Linked DNA regions of Mus musculus: all the other regions are reported to be linked to region 1. The links are microRNA targets in miRTarBase. Many come from high-throughput screens and were not tested one by one. Region 1 holds a microRNA gene; each other region holds the end of a gene's coding sequence. Distances are between the middles of the regions.

Evidence for each region. The annotated mature microRNA mmu-miR-5125 reads UCUGCCUGGGAUUUCCUUGU and lies in region 1 at 2,440-2,459, shown strand. An mRNA with a match to its seed (bases 2 to 7 or 8) in the 3' UTR can be bound and repressed. Matches are read on the target gene's strand: a 7mer-m8 pairs with bases 2 to 8, a 7mer-A1 pairs with bases 2 to 7 and ends in A, and an 8mer does both.
Region 2: the mRNA of Pxmp4 is a reported target of mmu-miR-5125. Seed matches in the 3' UTR shown: 7mer-m8 at 644-650, 7mer-m8 at 663-669, 7mer-A1 at 1,284-1,290 and 8mer at 1,293-1,300.
Region 3: miRTarBase lists Yeats2 as a target of mmu-miR-5125. Seed matches in the 3' UTR shown: 7mer-A1 at 1,897-1,903.
Region 4: the mRNA of Rpl7l1 is a reported target of mmu-miR-5125. Seed matches in the 3' UTR shown: 7mer-A1 at 348-354, 8mer at 338-345 and 7mer-A1 at 198-204.
Region 5: miRTarBase lists Nwd1 as a target of mmu-miR-5125. Seed matches in the 3' UTR shown: 7mer-A1 at 2,657-2,663 and 8mer at 900-907.

What each region holds. Positions count from the first base shown.
Region 1 is chr17:23,820,900-23,824,962 of GRCm38, forward strand. Mir5125 (microRNA 5125) reads left to right here and starts at 2,392; the gene lies at 2,392-2,470. Srrm2 (serine/arginine repetitive matrix 2) reads left to right here. Exons shown (of 15, transcript NM_001368687.1): 11 at 1-791; 12 at 1,514-1,801; 13 at 2,892-3,005; 14 at 3,117-3,221; 15 at 3,317-3,842. The coding sequence ends at 3,326. Elob (elongin B) reads right to left here. Exons shown (of 4, transcript NM_026305.2): 4 at 3,841-4,063. The coding sequence ends at 3,968.
Region 2 is chr2:154,584,363-154,588,427 of GRCm38, reverse strand. Pxmp4 (peroxisomal membrane protein 4) reads left to right here. Exons shown (of 4, transcript NM_021534.3): 4 at 336-1,384. The coding sequence ends at 599. Among named protein-coding and RNA genes, the nearest start is that of Gm39963, 2.8 kb to the right of the region's middle.
Region 3 is chr16:20,230,286-20,234,350 of GRCm38, forward strand. Yeats2 (YEATS domain containing 2) reads left to right here. Exons shown (of 31, transcript NM_001145930.1): 31 at 480-2,288. The coding sequence ends at 588. Map6d1 (MAP6 domain containing 1) reads right to left here. Exons shown (of 3, transcript NM_198599.2): 3 at 3,024-4,065. Among named protein-coding and RNA genes, the nearest start is that of Gm41431, 4.3 kb to the right of the region's middle.
Region 4 is chr17:46,774,712-46,778,776 of GRCm38, forward strand. Rpl7l1 (ribosomal protein L7-like 1) reads right to left here. Exons shown (of 7, transcript NM_025433.3): 5 at 3,699-3,808; 6 at 3,341-3,560; 7 at 1-1,025. The coding sequence ends at 3,352. Among named protein-coding and RNA genes, the nearest start is that of 2310039H08Rik, 4.1 kb to the left of the region's middle.
Region 5 is chr8:72,711,045-72,715,109 of GRCm38, reverse strand. It overlaps Nwd1 (NACHT and WD repeat domain containing 1), which reads right to left. Exons shown (of 19, transcript NM_176940.5): 19 at 364-3,517. The coding sequence ends at 3,219. Among named protein-coding and RNA genes, the nearest start is that of Sin3b, 10 kb to the left of the region's middle.

The DNA.
Region 1 (4,063 bases):
CCTCCAACTGCTGCAAATTACCCCTCCAGTTCCAGAACACCCCAGGCTCCAACCCCCGCAAACCTGGTGGTGGGTCCTCGATCTGCGCATGGCACAGCTCCTGTGAATATTGCTGGCTCTAGAACCCCTGCAGGCTTGGCTCCCACAAATCTCTCCAGTTCCAGGATGGCTCCAGCATTGTCTGGTGCAAACCTCACCAGTCCCAGGGTGCCCCTTTCTGCTTATGATCGTGTTAGTGGCAGAACCTCACCTTTAATGCTTGATCGAGCCAGGTCCAGAACACCACCATCTGCCCCAAGCCAGTCTAGAATGACCTCTGAGCGTGAGCGGGCTCCTTCCCCTGCTTCAAGAATGGTTCAGGCTTCTTCGCAATCTCTTCTCCCTCCTGCACAGGATCGGCCTCGGTCCCCTGTGCCATCTGCTTTTTCAGACCAATCTCGTTCAGTTGTCCAGACCACTCCTGTAGCAGGGTCTCAGTCCCTTTCATCCGGGACAGTAGCGAAGTCCACATCCTCTGCTAGTGACCACAATGGCATGCTTTCTGGCCCTGCCCCTGGGATATCCCATGCTGAAGGTGGGGAGCCACCTGCCTCTACTGGGGCCCAGCAGCCTTCTACATTGGCTGCTCTGCAACCAGCTAAGGAACGTCGGAGCTCTTCCTCCTCTTCATCATCATCTAGCTCCTCCTCCTCTTCATCATCTTCATCGTCATCCTCCTCTTCCTCTGGCTCCAGTTCTAGTGATTCAGAGGGTTCCAGCCTTCCAGCTCAACCTGAGGTGGCACTGAAAAGGTGAGGCAATTAAGGGATCTAGGGAGCAGGGACTTAACAATGGGTGGGTGAGTAGGGAGGGAGAAATCTTGTCAAAAGCACTTGGCTTTGAGAAAGTATGGGGGACCTTGGCCTTCAAGCTGGGAGTAGAAAGAATGTTGGGCGGGGGCTTTGTGGGGAGGAATGGGACAGATAAAAGTCTCCAAAGGTTAATTCTCCAGAGGATAATGATAAGTTTTCCATCTCTACAGAGGACAGAACTAGAGGAAATGGACTTAATTTTACAGCAGGAGGGATGGCAGTTAGACCTCAAGAGGAACTCCCTGGGCTGGAAGGATCTTCAGAGGTCATCCCATCCCTCTCCCTGCCTCCAGGCAGGACGGCCCCTCCCCAGCCAACCTGCACTCACAGGGGCCTCCCCAAGCTGCGGCTCTCCAAGGAAGGAGATCACCCAGCTTCAGCTTCCACATCTGAGTCCAGGGGCCTTAATCCTTCATCAGGGACATTCTTGAGGTTTAACCTTGATCCCTTGTGCTTCGGGCCCCAGCCTGTTGCTTGTGTTAGCAGAGGTTTGGTCAGCTCTGTGCCACTGCTCCAGAGAAGTACTACTCACTGGCCTGCCTTCGTGTTTTCCCAGGGCTTTTCTCAGGCACCCCTCCCCCACTGCCGTTCCTCCAGGCCAAGGAAGGTAGGGTTGGGGTTGGGGCATCTTGTCTCCTTGTGACACCTTTCTTCTCTCACAGGGTTCCCAGCCCCACCCCAGTCCCAAAGGAGGCTATTAGAGAGGGACGTCCTCAGGAACCAACCCCGGCCAAAAGGAAGAGGCGCTCTAGCAGCTCCAGTTCCAGCTCCTCCTCCTCCTCCTCTTCCTCTTCTTCCTCTTCCTCCTCCTCCTCATCTTCCTCCTCCTCTTCTTCCTCTTCTTCCTCCTCTTCTTCCTCCTCTTCCTCCTCCCCCTCCCCTGCTAAGCCTGGCCCTCAGGCATTACCCAAACCTGCAAGCCCCAAGAAGCCACCCCCTGGCGAGAGGAGGTGAGTGCTTTCTTGCCTGTTGTGGAAGGGGGGTTGGGGTGAGTTCTCCAGAAAGGGGACCCTGGGTGAGGTTCCTGCTGGGGTGCCTCGTGTGGACGTCTGTGACTGGTTGTACGGGAGAAGGAGTGCCGGACTCCTCCCATCCTCCCACAGTGTTGTATTCTGGTCAAGGGCTGCACTATCTAACTGAGGTGTCCCAGGCCATATCTGGGAAGTCATAGGATTCTTCCTCCCTCTCCCCTCCCCTGACAAGCAGCCTGGTCTCAGAGATCTAGCTCTAAGTCTCCCCATTGCTGCTGCAGGGCTCTGGTCTGGCCACCGTCATCTTCTCCCGACTCTGTCCACAGCCTCCTCCCTGTCTCCCTGCCTCCACGCCATTCTCTTCCACACGTAGCCAGAGGGATCTTTCTAAAACGCACATCTGGTTACTTCCCTTCACTCCACAAATCCTTCCGGAACGCCCTGTGGCCTGCAGGATAAAGTGCCACCTCTGCGGGAATGGCGTGTGAGGCTCTTCACCAGCTGCCCTTGCCCGCCCTGTGCTCCTCCTGCCCGCCCCCACACATGCCCCGTGCTCCGGCCATACCCAGCGCCTTGCAGTCTAAGGAGAGCCCCATGCCTTTGGACATGCTGTTCCTTCTGCCTGGGATTTCCTTGTCTGCCTGGTGAACTCGTTCTGCAAGACTGCATTCAAACAGCACCTCCGAGAAGACTGCCCTGCCATTTCCCTGTCCTGCCCAGGTCCCCATCCTTTCTCTGGATCCCCAGGCCCATGCATATCCATCCTGCTGGGCTGTTTCCTATGTAGGGGGCGTGTGTGCCTTCATTGTTAACCTTTACTACCAAACAAAATTCTTCCAAGGGCAGGGACTCTTTTATCTTTGCATCCCCCGCTGCACCCTGTGCCCTGTCCACTGGGGTACTCGGTGGATGGTGTGCGGGCGGATGGGTGAGTGCGGACAAAGGTGGGTCTGAGGCTGGCCCTGTGTGGTGTGAGGTTTGGTGGTCAGGACCTGGGTGGGTGGTCCTGAATGCTTGGCTGGTGGGTTTGGGAGGATGTGGAGCTATAGAGGCCTACTCTGCTTCCTAGGTCTCGAAGTCCTCGGAAGCCAATAGACTCCCTTCGGGATTCCCGATCCCTCAGTTACTCACCCGTTGAGCGTCGACAGCCCTCGCCCCAACCTTCACCAAGGGATCTACAGAGGTAGGGCCTATAGCAGGTGCTAGCAACCTGACTCAACTAGCTACCATTAATTTGTAAGCAAAATTTAAAAGTTTTTGGTATTGTTCTGTGACCTAATTTCTCCTCTTGTAGCAGTGAGCGAGTTTCCTGGAGAGGCCAGCGAGGGGACAGTCACTCTCCTGGTCACAAGAGGAAGGAGACACCTAGTCCCCGTTCTAATCGTCACCGCTCCTCCAGGTGTGTCTCCTTGGAAGTCTGGCCCTTCTGAGAGCTAGTAGTTAGGGATAGGGATATGTGTGGTGACCCAGAATGACCAGTCTTCTCTATTCCAGGTCTCCATAATCTGGATTCCACTACACCTCATACTCTGGAGACATGAGTATTCCTCATTTTTCCCAGAAGAATCATGGAAGGAGTCTTTGTATGCCTTCCCTTGAACCTTGGCAGCATCTTGAGGGGAGAGCGTCCTCTCCCACCCACCCTTTTTTTTTTTTTTTTTTTTTTTGGTTCCTGTGAAATGTTGATCTCTGTGAGTTTTTCCTGGTTCTTGTGTTTTGGGGGTTGGAGTGGGAGGGAGGGAGTCTAGGGAGGGAGGGGCACAGCTCAGGACATCTAGGCCTCAGATTGTGATGATCCAGGGAGTTAGCTCCCTAAATTCTTGGGTGACTGATGGTTTAACTTGGTAAGTTGTAATCTTTCCTGAAAGAGGAAGGAGCTGAAGTTGGTTGGCCCTGCTGCACCCCCTTACAAGGTTGTGAGGCCCTCTCCCCCCCAACTTTGTTTAAGGCATTTTGGTTTTTTAAAATCTGTACAGTAAAAGCAACTTTTTCTGTCAAATAAAAATGAGAAATGCAGTAATTGGTCTGTAGTCTTTACTTGGGGTTAAGAGTTCTGTGAACAAGAGGGAACAGAAAAGTCAATCAGGTAGACAGCCAAATTTTTTTTATTGGGGAAATGGGTCTCTAGGGGGTAGGCCTAGGCCCTCACTGCACAGCTTGTTCATTGGCACTGCCTCCAGAATCCTGTGGCTTCATCACATCTGGAAGCTCTGGAGGGCTGGAAAAGGGCTCGATGCGGAG
Region 2 (4,065 bases), not on the chromosome of region 1:
TCTCAGTACTTGAGAGGCAAAGGCAGGAGGATCTATAAGATCTCCAAGGCCAGCCTGGTCTACAGAGTGAGTTCCAGGACAGCCAGGGCTACACAGAGAAATCCTGTCTTGAAAAACCAAAAAAGAAAAAAGAAAAGAAAAGAAAAGAAAAGAAAAAAGAAAGAAAGGGAAATATTAAGATGTCTGAGCCATGCCACATCAATCATCTTGCATGTTAACTTTGAAAGTCACAGAGCCAGTGCGCGGTGGATGTCCAGTGCTTGTGGTCGGGTGGGCAGGTGAAGGTCCCCAGAGGCTGTGCTGACGAGTAACCCTGAGCATTTCCCTCCCTGCAGATCAACATGTACCTGACCTCACGCGTCCTGTACGCCTTGTGCCGCCTGGGTGTGGAGAAGGGCTATATCCCTGCGCTCAAGTGGGACCCGTTCCCCTTGCACACTGCGGTGATTTGGGGGCTCGTGCTGTGGCTTTTTGAGTACCACCGGCCCACTCTGCAGCCCTCCCTACAGTCCTCCATGACCTACCTCTACGAGGACAGCAACGTGTGGCACGACCTCTCAGACTTCCTCATCTTCAACAAGAGCCACCCCTCCAAGTAACACAGTCCAAGGTGCTTCAGGAACTCCTCCGCCCAGACAGCTTCCAGGCAGCAGCCCACCTTCCAGGCAGCTGCTCAGGGTATGGTTCTGTTGGCATACCCTCGTGGAGGAGCCTGCCTTCTCAAAGTCATAATCCTCACACTCCAACTTGTATTAACCCAGGCTCCCATTTGCTGAAGTAAAAGTACTGAGTTTTCCACTTACCAGTACTTTTGAGTACTGTAGCAAGTGGCTGGGTCCCATTAAGGAGTCTGTGGCTTGATTCCAGATGCTCTTCCGACTTCTGTAAGGCCAGGGCAAACTCACCCCCTCTCAGCTTCAGGTCATTCACTTCAGGGGAGGACCCTCCGAGGAGAGTGTCTTCCTGGTGGATATGATGGCCCTTCCCCTCTACTGTATATCAGAGGGCTCCTTGCTAGTGGGCAATAGGTTACAAACACTTTGAAAGGGGAAAAAAAAACTAAATTCTTTGTCTAAATTATTCTGCTGAGAAGTTCTGGAGCCCTACTGTCAAATAGGAGCACTAGATGAGTCACGTGCACAGCACGTGTCAAGCTTGTATGAGACGCAGGATCCTATCACCAGCACTGAGAATAAAACTTCAAGTGTCCACATTTTTTGAGATGCATTAAGAAGGCTGTGGCCGGGCAGTGGTGGCGCACGCCTTTAATCCCAGCACTCGGGAGGCAGAGGCAGGCAGATTTCTGAGTTCGAGGCCAACCTGGTCTACAGAGTGAGTTCCAGGACAGCCAGGGCTACACAGAGAAACCCTGTCTCGGAAAACCAAAAAAAAAAAAAAAAAAGGCTGTGGCAGTAGGGTTGTGAGCTCCAGGCCAGGCTGCGATACATTAAAAAACAAACAAACAAACAACCTCTGTCTCAAAAAAAGGCGGGGGTGGGCGTCCAAGGAGATGGCTCAGTGAGTCAAGATGGTTGCAGCCAAGCCTGGCGACCTGAGTTTGATCCCTGTGTTCTACATGGTGACATGGTGGAAGAAGAGAACCAGCTCCTGCAAGTTGTCCTCTGCCCCCACATGTGTGCCTTGGCATGTGTGCATGCACACGTGCACACACACACACACACACACACACACACGCACATATACAATAAATAAATGAAAATATAATAAAACATTAAAGAACATGTAAAATTAATCTTAATCATATATTTTGCCTGCATGTACATCTGTGTACCATGCGTGTGTGTGGTACCAGCAGAAGTCAGCAGAGGGCGCTGAGTTCCTTGGAACTGAGGGTATGGGTGTTGTGAGCCACTATGTGGGAAATGAAGCTTGGTCTTGGTCGTCTGCAAGAGCACTTAAGTTTGTTGTTGTTGTTGTTGTTGTTGTTGTTGTTGTATGATTGTTTGAGGTTTTTTTTTTTTTTTTTTCCCCAGACAGGGTCTCTCTGTGTAGCCCTGGCTGTCCTGGAATTAACTCTGTAGACCAGGCTGGCCTCGAACTCAGACTGCCTCTGCCTCCCAGTGTTGGGATTAAAGACGTGGACTGCCTGGTGAACTAAGTGCCTTTCACCACTAAGCCATTTCTCCAGCCTCAGACCTTTAATCGTGTATATTTTAACTCAATATTTCCCAAACTGTGCCATTGCTACATATGTTAATATAAAAGATTGGTAACAGCCTTTCTTGAAGTATGTCCTCAACACTGCCAGTGTGTTCTGCGTGCACCAGGTCACACGGTTATCCTCACAGAAGGTTCCGGAGGACACTGAAAATCTGGAACTAAAGACACAGTCTGAGCCCTGCCCCCACTCTGTGATGCATCCCCGGGGAAGGCTCTCCAACTCTCAGCACCTCCAGCCCTGCTAACCCGATGCCCACCCTGGACACTTGGCAGCACCTGAGAGCCACTATACCAGTGACTTCAGCATAGCGAGTTTCTCCTTCCTCCTGACTGCTTTGCATATGATTGTCTTTAATCCCTAGTAACCTTGCAAGGATGCACGCTGATCCATGTTTTCCAGGTATGTGGTCTCAGGATGATTTGAACAGCCTGCCTGACTTTGAAGCCCGTGTTTCCTTCAGTGCCCCGCATTAAACCTAGAAAACCTTAGCCGTGCTTTGCAGTCGTTGATTATAGCATCTGACATTTGACACCAACCCAGATGCTCACAGGAGCTCTTGGTGGCATAAATGGAAAGTGCTTGGGGTGCTATGGCACGGGGGGGAATGGGGCACAGTGGACTGGAGAATTGTGTGCCAGGCAGAATTTTTAAAAACCATTCATCTGAAGGAACAAAACAGCTCTCAGAAAAGCCTGGTCCGGAGGCTACCGATTTGAGGCACTTGGTTTGGTGCAGTGCATTCCTTCCACCGTGCCCTCTCCTCCTGTCTTTTTATGTGACTGAAATGACCAGTAGAAGTCTACTCGAGTCGCTGGAGTGCTCATCACTGTGCGGATTCTGGGCTGGCATGGAGACAAACGCCCATATTCACAGCACCTGGGAGGTGGGGGCAAGAGGAAGGGAGCTCAACGTCATTTTCTGCTACAAAGCAAGTTGGAAGCCTGGACGACTGAGACCCTATCTCATGAACACATGAATGAATGAGTGGATGAATGAATGAATGAATACAATGCAAATTCTGACCCAGGGGGTCTGGAGCTGGTCCAAGGTATGTCTTATAAGTTTCCCAAGCTGTGGGTACTGTTCTAGGAGCCCCGCCAGCTTGCTGAGGGGGTGGTGAATGGCAGTTGTCCCAGGTCACTGACCAGTCACAGAGCTGCAGGGCAGCAGAGGCTCTCTCTGACTCCCCAGTGCTCTCAGCCACGGCCGTTCCCTGCGAGTTCAGAGCAGATCGTTTGGAAGAGCTGCTTTCTCTGCTGGAACTGGAAGATGAACCAGCGCTGGAGCCCGTCAGGAGACGGCCATTGCCAGGCAGGTCTAGTCTAGATGATGGGGAGCCCTGCCATCCTCTCTTCTCTTCATACCTGGCTTCTCCAGTCGCCACTCCGGTGTCCCCACCCCCACCCCCCCACCCCCGCCTGAGGGATCCCACTCCTGGTGCCTGATTTACCACTCTGCGGCAGGTGTGAAGTTTTAGAGATTAATATGCCCCTTGAGCAGCATTAGGCCAGCACTAAGAAATATCATCACAGGCAGCTCCCAGCCCTCAGAAGAGATAACCCTCCATACACTCTGCGTGCTGCTTGCTAGAGCTCCAAGCAGGGCTGGACTCCAGGTGCCCATGGTGGAAACTATCTCCTTCAACGCCACATCCATTGCATCTGCTGGGACAGTGCGTCACTTGCACACAAACCCTTGTCTTGGGCTTTATTATTGGAGAAAAACCCAAACTAAAATTGGCTACTAGTCAATACACTAAGAGGCAGTATAGACAGTTGCAAGGGGTAAGGGCTTTGGAGCCAGCATGCTCAGGTTGGAGCCCTGACGGATGAAGTGGCTTAGCCATCTGTGCCTCATCTGTAAAAGGGGTGTTGTGATGACAT
Region 3 (4,065 bases), not on the chromosome of region 1:
GAAAAGCAGGAGGAGCCATGCTTTCTGTGTTCCTGACTGGAGATGTAGCAAACTGGGTGGTTCGGATGAGAGCGTGTATCGCCACGCTTGGCTAGCCAGGACTCTCCCATCCCCTGAGATAAGAAATGGGTCTGTATCATTATGGTGCTTTGAGACAAACTTCAATCTGCTTAGACTTAGACGCACACCATTCTCCTCTGTCTATATCCTCTTTCTTTTCTGTCAGCTAATCATTTGGCCGGCAAACTTACTGTGTCCAGAAAGTAAGATTGAGTCCTGGATAGGACTCTAGATGGAGAAGAATTCATAAGTGAGAGAGAGACCGGCCTCAAGCCTTTGCCATCACCTCCTTCTATAAGAGAATGGTCCCTTCAGTCTATTAATTCACTGAAATTATTCCTGAATTCGTTTGACAAATTATACCTAATTACACTTTTGGGTTTTGTTTTTTGTTTTTGTTTTTTTGTTTTTTGGACTAGGATTCCCAAAGAAATTACAGTGAGTAATATTCATCAGGCCATTTGCAACATTCCTTTTCTGGATTTTCTTACAAACAAACACATGGGGAGACTGAATGAGGATCAGTGAATACAGCGAAGAGATCCCTGAAAAGCGGGAGAGGCTGTGTCTGCAGTGTGCAGACTGTGACCCTCGTGTTTGAGGAAAGCTGGTGTTTTCTGTGTTGGAACGCCACGGTTGCCAGACCATTCCTTCCATCTAACTGCGTATTACACAAGGGCATCGAGTTCCAGGTGCCCCCCTTTTAGGACAGAGTTGTTTCCCAATTCTGGAGGGAAGCTGAATGGACACGGCTTCGTCAGTTTGCATTTCTTTACTCCCACAAGGCTCTGCGGGGTCTTGGTGTGAGACAAGGCACATGCACGGGGTGCTCGGTCCCTCTGTGGGCTGTGCGTGGGTTCACCTGGGGCCTGCTTTTCAGAAGGCAAAGATAAGCCCGCCATGCTGGGCTGGGGAACTCTGAAGAAGACCAGCAACGAGTACCTTCTCCCGCCTTGCCTCAGCGTAGAAGGGCTGCACTCTTGGCTGGTGTGAGTCAGCTACAGAGAAGGTAATACGCCATGTGGGAGGCCAAGGAGGCTGCAGTGAGACTCTTCCACGGAACCATGACGCTAGTGCAGTGACAGCCTGTGTCACGGCCGTGTTGAGGGGTCCCAGCAGAGGCCTGTGTCGTGTAACCCAGGGACTACAAGTGTCAGTGTGGGTATCAACCTCAAAGTCAGGCACTTGAGCCATGTGTGGTCCTCCTCCATCTGGGATTCAGAAGCCCCTGCCACTGCCTCAGGTCAAGGGGAGGGAGGCAGCCTCAGTGCAGACTTTATAGGATTGTCCTCTTGGTGGACCGGAGTCCTGTCCTTCTCTGCCAAAGAGTTTTACCAAGATGAAAAGGGTTGAAACACCTGTGAGTGCCTTACATGGGAAGAACTGCTCTAACCCACTGTGCTAATGTTCAGAAGCAGAGCCCTCAGTGAGAGCTGCACACACGAGCCTCTAGCATCACTACACAGTGTGCACACACTGGGGACTCCCCAGTCCTCCTGACTATTATGGGGACACAGGAAAGACCTCAGCCTCAGTTGTAAACCTGCTCTTTGTCTGCTCAAAGGAAACTTGAAATATCTGAGTAAAAGTCAAAGAAACCCAGCTAAGTAAGCAACATAAAGCCTGTTGTGTCAGGTCCTGCAGGTCGATGTGTGAGTCAGGAAACACTGCAGGGAAATAGACCTTTCCTTCCGTACCTGAGAGCTGCAGGTACCAAGGGATCTACCGTGCAGGGACTGGGCAAGCACAGCTTACTGCTATAATTGGGTATATAAGGCTTAAGAATTTGGTCTATGCCAGGCGTGGTGGCGCATGCCTTTAATCCCAGCACTCGGGAGGCAGAGGCAGGCGGATTTTTGAGTTCAAGGGCAGCCTGGTCTACAAAGTGAGTTCCAGGACAGCCAGGGCTACACAGAGGAACCCTGTCTCAAAAAAACAAAAAAAAAATAAAAACAAGAATTTGGTCTAAGACCATACAGCAGATTGATATGCTGGCACAGATTTGTTCAGAAGTGGACAGAGACTTACAAGGTAGAGTATCCCAATGAGAGCAGATTCATTTGTTGTGATAAAAAACCTAAAGAAATTACTTTTTTGCTAAAAAAAAAAAAATCAAATGATTTAACAGTTTCTGTGTATGTTAAACTTTCAAGTGTTTTTTTAAATCATAATGTGTAATAATTGTGTATCATTTTGTCTACAATAAAACGTTTAGTATTTGCAATGGGTTTTCTGAGCTGGAAGCACCGTACTTAGATGGGCTCATTGAGAGAGGTGGTTGTGGTATGAGTCTTTGTAAGTTTAAATTGATATCTCTACTTCCCTAAAAAAAAAAGAAAGAAAGAAAAAGAAGATGCAACCATGCAATATAAAAGGACCACAGTTACATTCAGGTCACTTACAAAACCGTGAGCATAATTATTTCATACAAGCAATTTGGGGTAAAGGAAAATGAATAAATGGGTTCAGTTTCTCAAAAAAGCAGACTCTTTGTCTAACAAGCTAGTTTATCTGGTGAAATAAAGTTGGTCTGTGCTAAGCTCTGAATCACTCCCAGGATGCAAGTCTTATAAACAAGTATGTAACAGTGCAGACACACCAGAACTAAAGGCTCTGAAATCTGTGGCTTTCACAAGGGAGTTTCTCTGAAGAGGCATTGGGGATACAGTCCACAGAGGTAGCTGGCTGGGAAGCAACAAAGCAGAGCCCTGGAGAGTAAGGCTAGCTGGGGGCACAGGACAGTGTGGGTGCTGACAGCGCCCTGGGCTTCGGGTAGCATACCCTATCCAGTAGAAGCCAGAAGTCCTGAGTTCTGTCCCTCAAAGTATGGAGAGGTAAGACCTTCCTTCAGCATGTTATTGGACTTTCAGGCTTTCTGATTAGTTGACCTTATAATGTACACACACCTGATTGAGGCAGTTCCCACATTGTGGTTATGGAATAATTAATATTGAATACTCTTCTCAAATTAACAGATTAAAGTGCTTTATTTTTCAAAACTTACAGAATATAAAAGTTATTAAATTTATAGGAATTTTAGCAGGTATGATAAAGTATTTTTAAAAATTTGGGCTGGAGAGATGGCTCAGTTGAAGTGCATGCAGTACCTGAGTTCAGTCACCAGAACCCACATAAAAATGGCAGGCATGGTGGTGCACACTTAAAATCTGAGCACTGGAGAGGCAGCAGAGATGGGCAGATCACTTGAGGCTTGCTATACAAGCAGCCTAAGCTACTTGGCGAGCCCTGGGCCAGTGAGAAAAATGAAGGGTACCTGAAGAATACTCTGAGTTGTCCTCTGTCCTCTACACGTGCCTGCACATACATGAACACACATCCCCATATATACAGGAATACACACGTACATATAACGCCATATACACACTCCTTTCTCAGAGATGAGCCCTGCTCATCCTCCAGTGTATTTTTCTGGTCTTTGTGCACATTGTGTGTAAGGTGGACTCAGAACTAAGAGAACAAGGCTGACATTGGCCTTGGTGGCTTCTTGGTTGTTCGTGGAACCATGTGACCATACTCAGATCTGCAATGAGGAGGGACTTCCTAAGGGCAGGGTTTCATTCCTCAGGAGGACTGGTGAGAAGAGCTTTGTGGCACACTGCTGAGGTCATGCATCTCTACACCAAGAGTGAATGCAGGGGGTGGGGTTGCTGGACATGTGGTGCGGTCACTAGCAGTGTACAGCTGGAGGCTTTTAGCTGGGGCATGCCAGTGGCTACAGCAGGACCAAAAGGTACCTGGAAGAGTTAAAGTGGAAAGGACTATTGGGGAGCCATGCTTGGCTGGCTTTCCGGAGGATGTCCTAACAAGCCAGCAGGGTATAGGTAATAGCAGTCTCACTTTCAGGTGCAGAAGTGGAGTGCTCACTGTCCCTGCCAGTGAGGAAGCAGCAGTGGCACAGATGGCCCCTTTTCCCACTTAAGTATGCAGGAGAGCTGAAGTGGAAAGAAGGTAACACCTGCAACACTGGAAGCATCTGCAGCTCTG
Region 4 (4,065 bases), 23 Mb from region 1:
AATGATCAGTTAACACTGATCCAGGTGAAATTTAGTGGGCATTTCCTGGGTACATGTGGTTTAGGAAACAACAATCTATCACTGCATTGGTTTTTGTTTTGTTTTTTTTCTGAGACAGGGTTTCTCTGTGTAGTCCTGGCTGTCCTGGAACTCACTCTGTAGACCAGGCTGGCCTCGAACTCAGAAATCCGCCTGCCTCTGCCTCCCGAGTGCTGGGATTAAAGGTGTGCTCCCCCACTGTCCAGCTTTTTGTTTATCTTTAACATTTTCTCTATGTGTAGCCCTGGGTATCCTGGAAATCTGTAGAGCAGGCTTGCCTGTCCCTGAACTCATGAAGTCTGCCTGCCTCTGCCTCCCAAGCGCTGCAACTAAAGGTATACACACCAGGCCCAGGCAAACACTAGTTTTTAATAGAAGACAAGTGATTAAACTTCAGTCCCCTCCGGTAGCACAGAATGCAACTAGCTTAACAGACCAATGTGCATAAAAATGCAGGCTGTAGCCGGGCGTGGTGGCGCACGCCTTTAATCCCAGCACCTAGGAGGAGGAGGCAGGACTGCTGTGGAGTATAAGGCCAGCCAGGGCCAACAGGGAGACCCTGCTTTGAACAAAGCAAACACAAGACTGCCTACCCTGACAAAAATAAAAAGTAAAACCGGGACCCTCTTGATCCATGTTCAAGTGCGCCGCTTGGTCTGGCCCACTGCTCTAACAGTCTTGGAGGGGGTGGGAGGGAGGTTTGTGCTTGTTGCCCACCCAACATTAAACACCAAGATAGAAGGCAGGATGAGCAGGGTAATTCTTTCCTCCACAGCTTGCGTGGATTTCGAGACAGGCAGCCAATGAGGGAACTCGTCCTTCCATGGACTGAGCTGTGTTAAGTGTCTCCGGTGCTCGCACCTTACTGTCGTTCTCTAGGCCCAAGCCTTCCTTCAGTTTCTGAAGGCAGAAAATAATCTTCTCTGAAGATACTTGATAATTTTAAACGACGACAAAAACACTTCCGAGGGGTGCTTTTGGAAAACCTAAGGAGGGAAAACACAGCTGTGTCAACAAACCAATCTCAACTTGGGTCTGAGAGAACAGCGACAGAGTGTTCCAGTCGCGATCCTTCAGCAGAACAGGTAACCAACCGGCCTGCATAGTCCTTCTGAAATCAGTTTCTGATGTGATTCCTCCTCCACTGCAGGCTAAAAGTCCACAGCAACATAGACATTTTCTAGCCCGTGACCTAACAGAGCTGTATCAGGCATTGTCCCTTTCCAACAGGTCAACACACAGGCTTGTTCCTGTTTTCACACAGAACAACTCTCATTCTTCAAGTGCCAGGGTCAACTGCTAACTAGCTCTCCAGCGTACAGAGGGACTTCTAGTTGACAAGCATGGCCCACCAAAAGTCAGACAAGGTGCCAACAAGATGGCTCAGTGAGTAAGACTGCTGGCCACAAAGACTACCCAGTAAAGATTCTCAGAACCAATAGAGGAGAGAAGTGTCCTCTGACCTACCCCAGTGCTGGGTTTGGCATGGCCTCAGCAGGGGACAGAATGACATGGCTCTCGGCACCTGTATAGGGCCAGCAGGTGTGAGCCTCCATGAGTGTTGACGGCTGCTATGGGCATAAGGCCTCTTTGTATAATAATGTTTGTATAATGACTTACATTCCTCAGGAATGTTATCCCAGTTAGCGTTAATGCTAGTGATAACCAGTCAGCATGCATCAGGGGTGAAGGTATGGATGGCTGAGGTCTCAACAAAAAGGGAAATGCTGGGACATTCATGACAGCACTTAAGTTTGTGAAAAAGGACTCTTAAAAACATGGGTTCAGGGCTGGCGAGATGGCTCAGTGGATAAGAGCACTGACTGCTTTTCCGAAGGTCCTGAGTTCAAATCCAGCAACCACATGGTGGGTCATAACCACCCGTAATCCCATAATGAGATTTGACATCCTCTTCTGGCACATCTGAAGACAGCTATAGTGTACTTAAGTAAGAGATGGCTCAGTGGTTAAGAGCATTGACTGTTCTTCCAGAGGTCCCGAGTTCAATTCCCGGCAACCACACAGTGGCTCATAACCATCTGTAATGGGGTCTGATGCCCTCTTCTGGTGTGTCTGAAGACAGCGACAGTGTACTCATATAAATAAAAATAAAAAAACTGCTGGGCTTGGTGGCTCATGCCTTTAATCCCAGCACTCGGAAGGCAGGGGCAGGTGAACTTCTGAGTTCGAGCCCAGTCTGGTCTACAAAGTGAGTTCTAGGACAGCCAGGGCTATACAGAGAAACTGTCTCAAAAAACCAAAATAAGTAAATAAATAAAATAAATAAATAAATTTAAAAAAAAAAAAAAACCACCGGGCGTGGTGGCACACGCCTTTAATCCCAGCACTTGGGAGGCAGAGGCAGGCGGATTTCTGAGTTCAAGGCCAGCCTGGTCTACAGAGTGAGTTCCAGGACAGCCAGGGCTATACAGAGAAATCCTGTCTCGGAAAACAAATAAACAAAACAAAAAACAAAAAAATAAAACGGGTTCAAAAATATATAATTTCTGGCTGGTGAGATGGCTCAGCGGTTAAGAGCACTGACTGCTCTTCCAGAGGTCTTGAGTTCAAATCCCAGCAACCATATGTGGCTCACAACTACCCATAATGAGATCTGCCACCCTCTTGTGGTGTGTGTGAAGACAGCTACAGTGTACTTACATACATGAGGGGCTTAACAAATCTAAAGGAACAAAAGCAGCTGCGCTGCGAGCCAGCTTGTTTGTCAGAAAGATACTAAGGAAGGAGATAAAGAGATTTAGGGAGTGGTGACCACTAAGTTGTTATTTTTGTTGCTGTTTATGCTTACAAAGGCAGACAGATTCCTGAGTCCAGGGTGACTTGGGACAGAGCAAGGTTAGACCCAGGTGTGATACAAGTGGTAATTTCAGGACCCGGTCCCACAAACTAGCTCCCTGTCTGTGATAACAGAGGCAGGCAGATATCTGAATTCTTTTGCAAAGTTAAAAGAAAAGGTCCATTTGCAGTCTCCTAAGAATTAAGGAGCTGTGGTCAAGGGAGGCTGATTCATAGGAACCTGGAGTAACTATCTGGATTGATTTGTAAAATAAAAAGCTGTGCCTATAATCTGCAAGAGACGAGCTATCCAGTCTCAAGCAGAACAGAGAGGAGGCTGGCCAAGTGTCTGGAGCAGGGCACAGGCTGCCAGCTTGGACCCAGCACCTGACTTTGAGCTGTTTGTTTCCCCGCTCCCAGTCACCCCTTCTCAGGCCCTCTCCGAGCCGAGGCTGGTGTCTGGCGACACAAGCGCTGTGCAGCAGGCAGCACACACTCGCCTCACCTGCTCCTGCTCTAGTTGAGCTGCCGAATGAGCTGATTGATCCGATCTCCCCGGTAGCCCGGGGAGCCCATCTCTTTGCGGAAGCCCACTCTGTTCCTGGTAGCATGGCGGGCCACAGAGAGGAGGAAAGGGCACAGAAATGAAGAGACCTCCTGGAAATGCTTCCCAGGGAAGGCAATTTCATGGATGAGGTCTTCCAGGCAAATGACACCAAATCTCCCTGAAAAACAAGAGGGTGTAGATTTCTGTGTTCACCACCTAGCCAGTATAAAGGGGGGAAAAACCCAAAAGGCTGGGACTGTCAGGTCCAAGAATACACCCTGGATCGCAGCCACCAAGCCCAGGCCACAGCACTCACCCAGGTGCTCCTCGATCACCGTGTTGTCCGTCAGAGGGACTGTCTTATTGTTAATCTTTGCTTGGCCACGTTTCAAGATGAGCTCCCGGACAGACTTCAGATTTGGAAATCTACATAGGCATAACAGGGACACTAAGAACTGACTGAGCAGAGAGCTACAGGACCCTCCCACACCCACCTCCCACAAGCAGGGAGTAGACTATTGGGCGACCCAACTGAGAAGATGGCCGAAAAGCAGAGCAGCTAATGCCTACAGAGCAGCTAATGCCTGCAACTCTAGACACTGAGGCTGGAGGGCCCTGAGCTGTACAAAGTCTGAGGTGAGCCACCTAAGCAGTCAACCGAAAATCCCAGCATGGGCTTGAGT
Region 5 (4,065 bases), not on the chromosome of region 1:
AGCAGTCACCAACACCAAAGTGGGTGGACAAAGGACTGTGGTACACTCAGTGATAGGACAGTTCACAGCCATAGAGAAGAACATGAGAGACTATCATTTGTAGCAAAACAGACAGAACTGAAGGACATCATGTTCAATGAGTAAGTTGGCTGCACAGTGACGAACCTCATTCCCTCTCATACCCTGACTTAAAAGGATATGGAATTGTGAGGACCAGCTTTGGACAGAGACAGAAGGTAGATTTAAAACAAAGACCAAGTTTGCAGCTACTTGCATGCTGAAAATATCTTGTGGGTCTTCATTAATATATTACAATTAGTACATGTTAGTAAAAAAGTATTATTTTTAAAAATCTCAAACAAATTATTGTTCAATACATGTGCATATATTTTTAAATTACAGCTTAAAATAGATCTTTAATTTTATTGTTATTATATTATTACTACTATTGGTATGCATATGAGTGCATGGTGGGGGTGTCATCACCATGGTGCTTACCTTAGTGAATGTGTGGAGTCAGAGAGCAACTCTGAAGTCGGCTCTCTACTTCCACTCTCTGAGTGCCAGGGATTGAACTCAGCCCATCGGGACTGAGTAGCAAGTGCTGTTACCAACTGAGTCAGCTCATTGGCCCATAATTTTTAAAAATATTGATCTTAATTCTGTGTGTGTGTGTGTGTGTGTGTGTGTGTATGTTTGGGCAGGTATCTCCAAAGGCCAAAAGGCCTTTTGTGTGCCATCTGATGTGGGGGCTAAGATGGATCAAACTGCTGAGCCATCTCTCCAGACCTTTGTTGTTGTTGCTGCTGCTGCTGCTGCTGTTGGAGACAGGAATTCTCTGTATAGCCCTGGCTGTCCTGAACTCACTTTGTAGACCAGGCTGGCCTTGATCTCAGAAATCTGCCTGCCTCTGCTTCTGCCACTGCCACTGCCACTGCCACTGCCACTGCCACTGCCTCTCAAGTGCTATGATTAAAGGTGCACACAACCTCTGTTTGCCATAACCAGTAATTTTTTTAAAAAAATAAAATTTGACACTAACATTTTCAGAATTGCTAAAGCATGCATTGGAATCCTTATTTGGGAAGTAACTGAACAAGGTATCTTCAAAGGCCTCATTTTGAAGCTGGAATGTGACTGAGCAGTAAAGCCCCTTCCTGGATTCCCCCAGTAAGGGCTCAGGGTATGGCTTGAGATATAGCACTTGCCTTCAAGTCCTGGTTCTGTATCCAACACAGAAAAACAAGCTGTTTCTACTGCTGCTTTCACTGAGTCTGTCTAGTGTCCCATGGCGTGAAGGGGGCCTCTCACCTCTAAGGTCTGGCTGTAGCAAGGCTCCAGGCACAAGACCGGCTCACTAGATGGCTGTGAGCACTGTGGAGAAAGCCATTTCAAGGCAGAAGGTCTGGCAGCAAAGCAGGTAGATGCTAGCATGTCCTGATGTGTCAGGGAACTGAGTGAGACAGCATCTTAGCTGGGCACAGTGGTTATAGTTGTCCAAGCAGGAAATGGAGGCAGGAGGATAAGACTGTGCCAGCACTTTTGGCTACACATGGAGGCTGGTGTGGGCATCATGAGTGTTCATGTGTGCCTGAGCACCCATGTGGGTACATGTGATGTGTATCTGAAGGCATGAGGTTGAGTCAGGAATAATCATTGACTTCTCTTCTACCTTATTCATTGTGGCAGGGTCTCTTAATCAAACCCAGAGCTCACAGATGTGTCTAGCTAGCTAGCCAGAATGCTCAGGATCCTCTATGACCTTATTAGCTTTAACTGTCAACTTCACATAGCCTAGAGTCACCTGAGAAGCAAGTCTTAATTGAAGGGTTGCCCAGGTCAGACTGGTGTGTGGGCCTGTCCATGGGGCATTGTCTTGACTGCTAGCTGATGGAGGAGGGAGCCCACTGTGAGTGGTAAGTGGTTCTGGGGCTTATGAAAAAGCTTAGCTAATCAGGAGAACGGCAGAAACTACATCCTCTGTGGTTCAGGCTTGTGTCTTGAGTGAGAATGGCTCCCAGAGGCATATATATTTGAGTGTCTGGCCACCGGAGAGGGAACTGTTTAAAAGGATTCTCATGATATATCTTTCAGCTATTCCTGCAGCACCATGCCTGCCATGTGTGCCACCAGGCTCCCTGTCGTGATGACAGTGGACTAAGCCTTTGAAACTATAAACAGTTCTCCCAACCCCATTAACTGCTTTGCCATGGTCATGGTGTCTCTTGACCATCACTAATTGATAATGACGGAGACACTGCTGTATGACCGCGGCTGAGTCCCCTAGTCAGAGGTCATGCTGTGTGCAATAGCCAGCAGGCTTGCCTTCAGTTCCTGCTTGAGTTCGTTCCCTGACTTCCCTAAGTAAAGAACTGGGTGTGTGGCCTGGGGGTGAAAGCCAGATGAACCATTTCCTCCTCTAAGTTGCTTTTGGTCGAGTTTTTCAGTCACAGCAGTGGAAGAAACAAAAATAGCCTGTTCCCTGAGGCTAGGCTTACAGGTTGGTGACAGTGTGTACAATGTTCTTGTATTCTGGGATGCAAGGTGATTTAAGCCCTGAGCCAGCACCAGTCTTTTCTCTCTACATAGCTCTGGCTGTCCTGAAACTTACTATGTAACCTAAGGCTGGCCTCAAACTCACAGGAATCCTCCTGCCTCTGCCTCCTGAGTGCTGGGATTGAAAGCTATGCCACCACCAGATCCTAGGAGGATTTTTTTTACACACCATTTTGAGTCTCACAGCAGGAGCTGCAGACAGACTAACTATGCTGTGTGTTTAACTATGCTCTGTGTGGCTTTGCAGTATGGATTATGGGCTATTACTGGAGGCTCACTGCTATGAAGACAGGACAGCACCCATCACATCCCAGCAGTCTTTCACTCTCCATCACACAACACTTTGACAAGGTCACTCTTGGTCCCTACAATGATTTCAGATCCTCTCACAGCTAGTAACTGGCTCAGGGATAAGAATTGCACCAGTACAACTAAGAGGCAGAGCCAAGCCTTTGAGCCAAGTTCTTAGAGTAAGGTGGGAGATGCAGGCTGCTGCTCACTTGAAGGAAGTAGGCCTTCAGAACCCACAGAAAAAGCTATGAGGAAAAATGGAAGATGGTTGAGGGGAAGGGGGGGTCCACATGGCACCAGCAGAGAGAGTCAGTTGGCTTCAACCAGGTGAGCCATGGCTAAGTCACTGAAGCCCCTGCCTTGGTAGGCTTTCAGAGTATGAGGCAGACCTGTGAGCGTTTATTTGACTTTGATTCCTTTCCCTCTACGGCCACTGGTTCTGCATCCTGGGAGGCTTCTGCTGCAGCCAGCTCTTCCCTCTGCCTGGTCTTTACCAGCCACACTGCCTTCTTGAAGTTCTTGAGAGGGTCTTGCTGGGAGGCTCTGACTGACGGGCACTGGAAGCGCTCACGGATGAGATAGCCGTGGCTTGTGGGGGCCATGAAGCCATTGGAGGTAGGGATGATTCGGTTGATCACAGCATGAACAAACTGGACAGCCAAAAGAGTGCCTGTGACCAGGAAAGGGCAAGCCATGAGAAAATGGGGCCCAGAGATGGAAGGACATTGCAGCTGGTAATGTGCTTGGCCTGCAAACACAGGGCCTGAATTCAATCCCTTAACACGCATGCATGTGGAGGTGCACACTGGCAGTCCCAGCGCTCTGGAGGCAGACATGGATGCTCCCTGGGGCTCCCTGTTTGACCTAATCATTGGGCTCAAAGTCCATCATCTCCAGTACATGATTACCATCCATAGAATATGGGTATACACCCACCCTCATGGAGACCCAGGGAAGAAGGCTGTTCTGTCTCCAAAGGGGTCTACAGACCATGTGAGAAGAGTGCTATGGCAGCAGGCCATCAGGTCCTGCATACACCTCCTAAGCTGAGGGGCCCAGCTAAAGGCAGAAACAGGACCAGTAAGACCCAAGGTGACTCTTTTCCCTTCAGATCAGAGCTTGGTCCTAGGGAAAGAGCCCAGTAGGCATGCCAGTTAAGGTTTTGTTTTGTTTTATTTTATTTTGTTTTTTGTTTTTTTGTTTTGTTTTTTGTTTTTG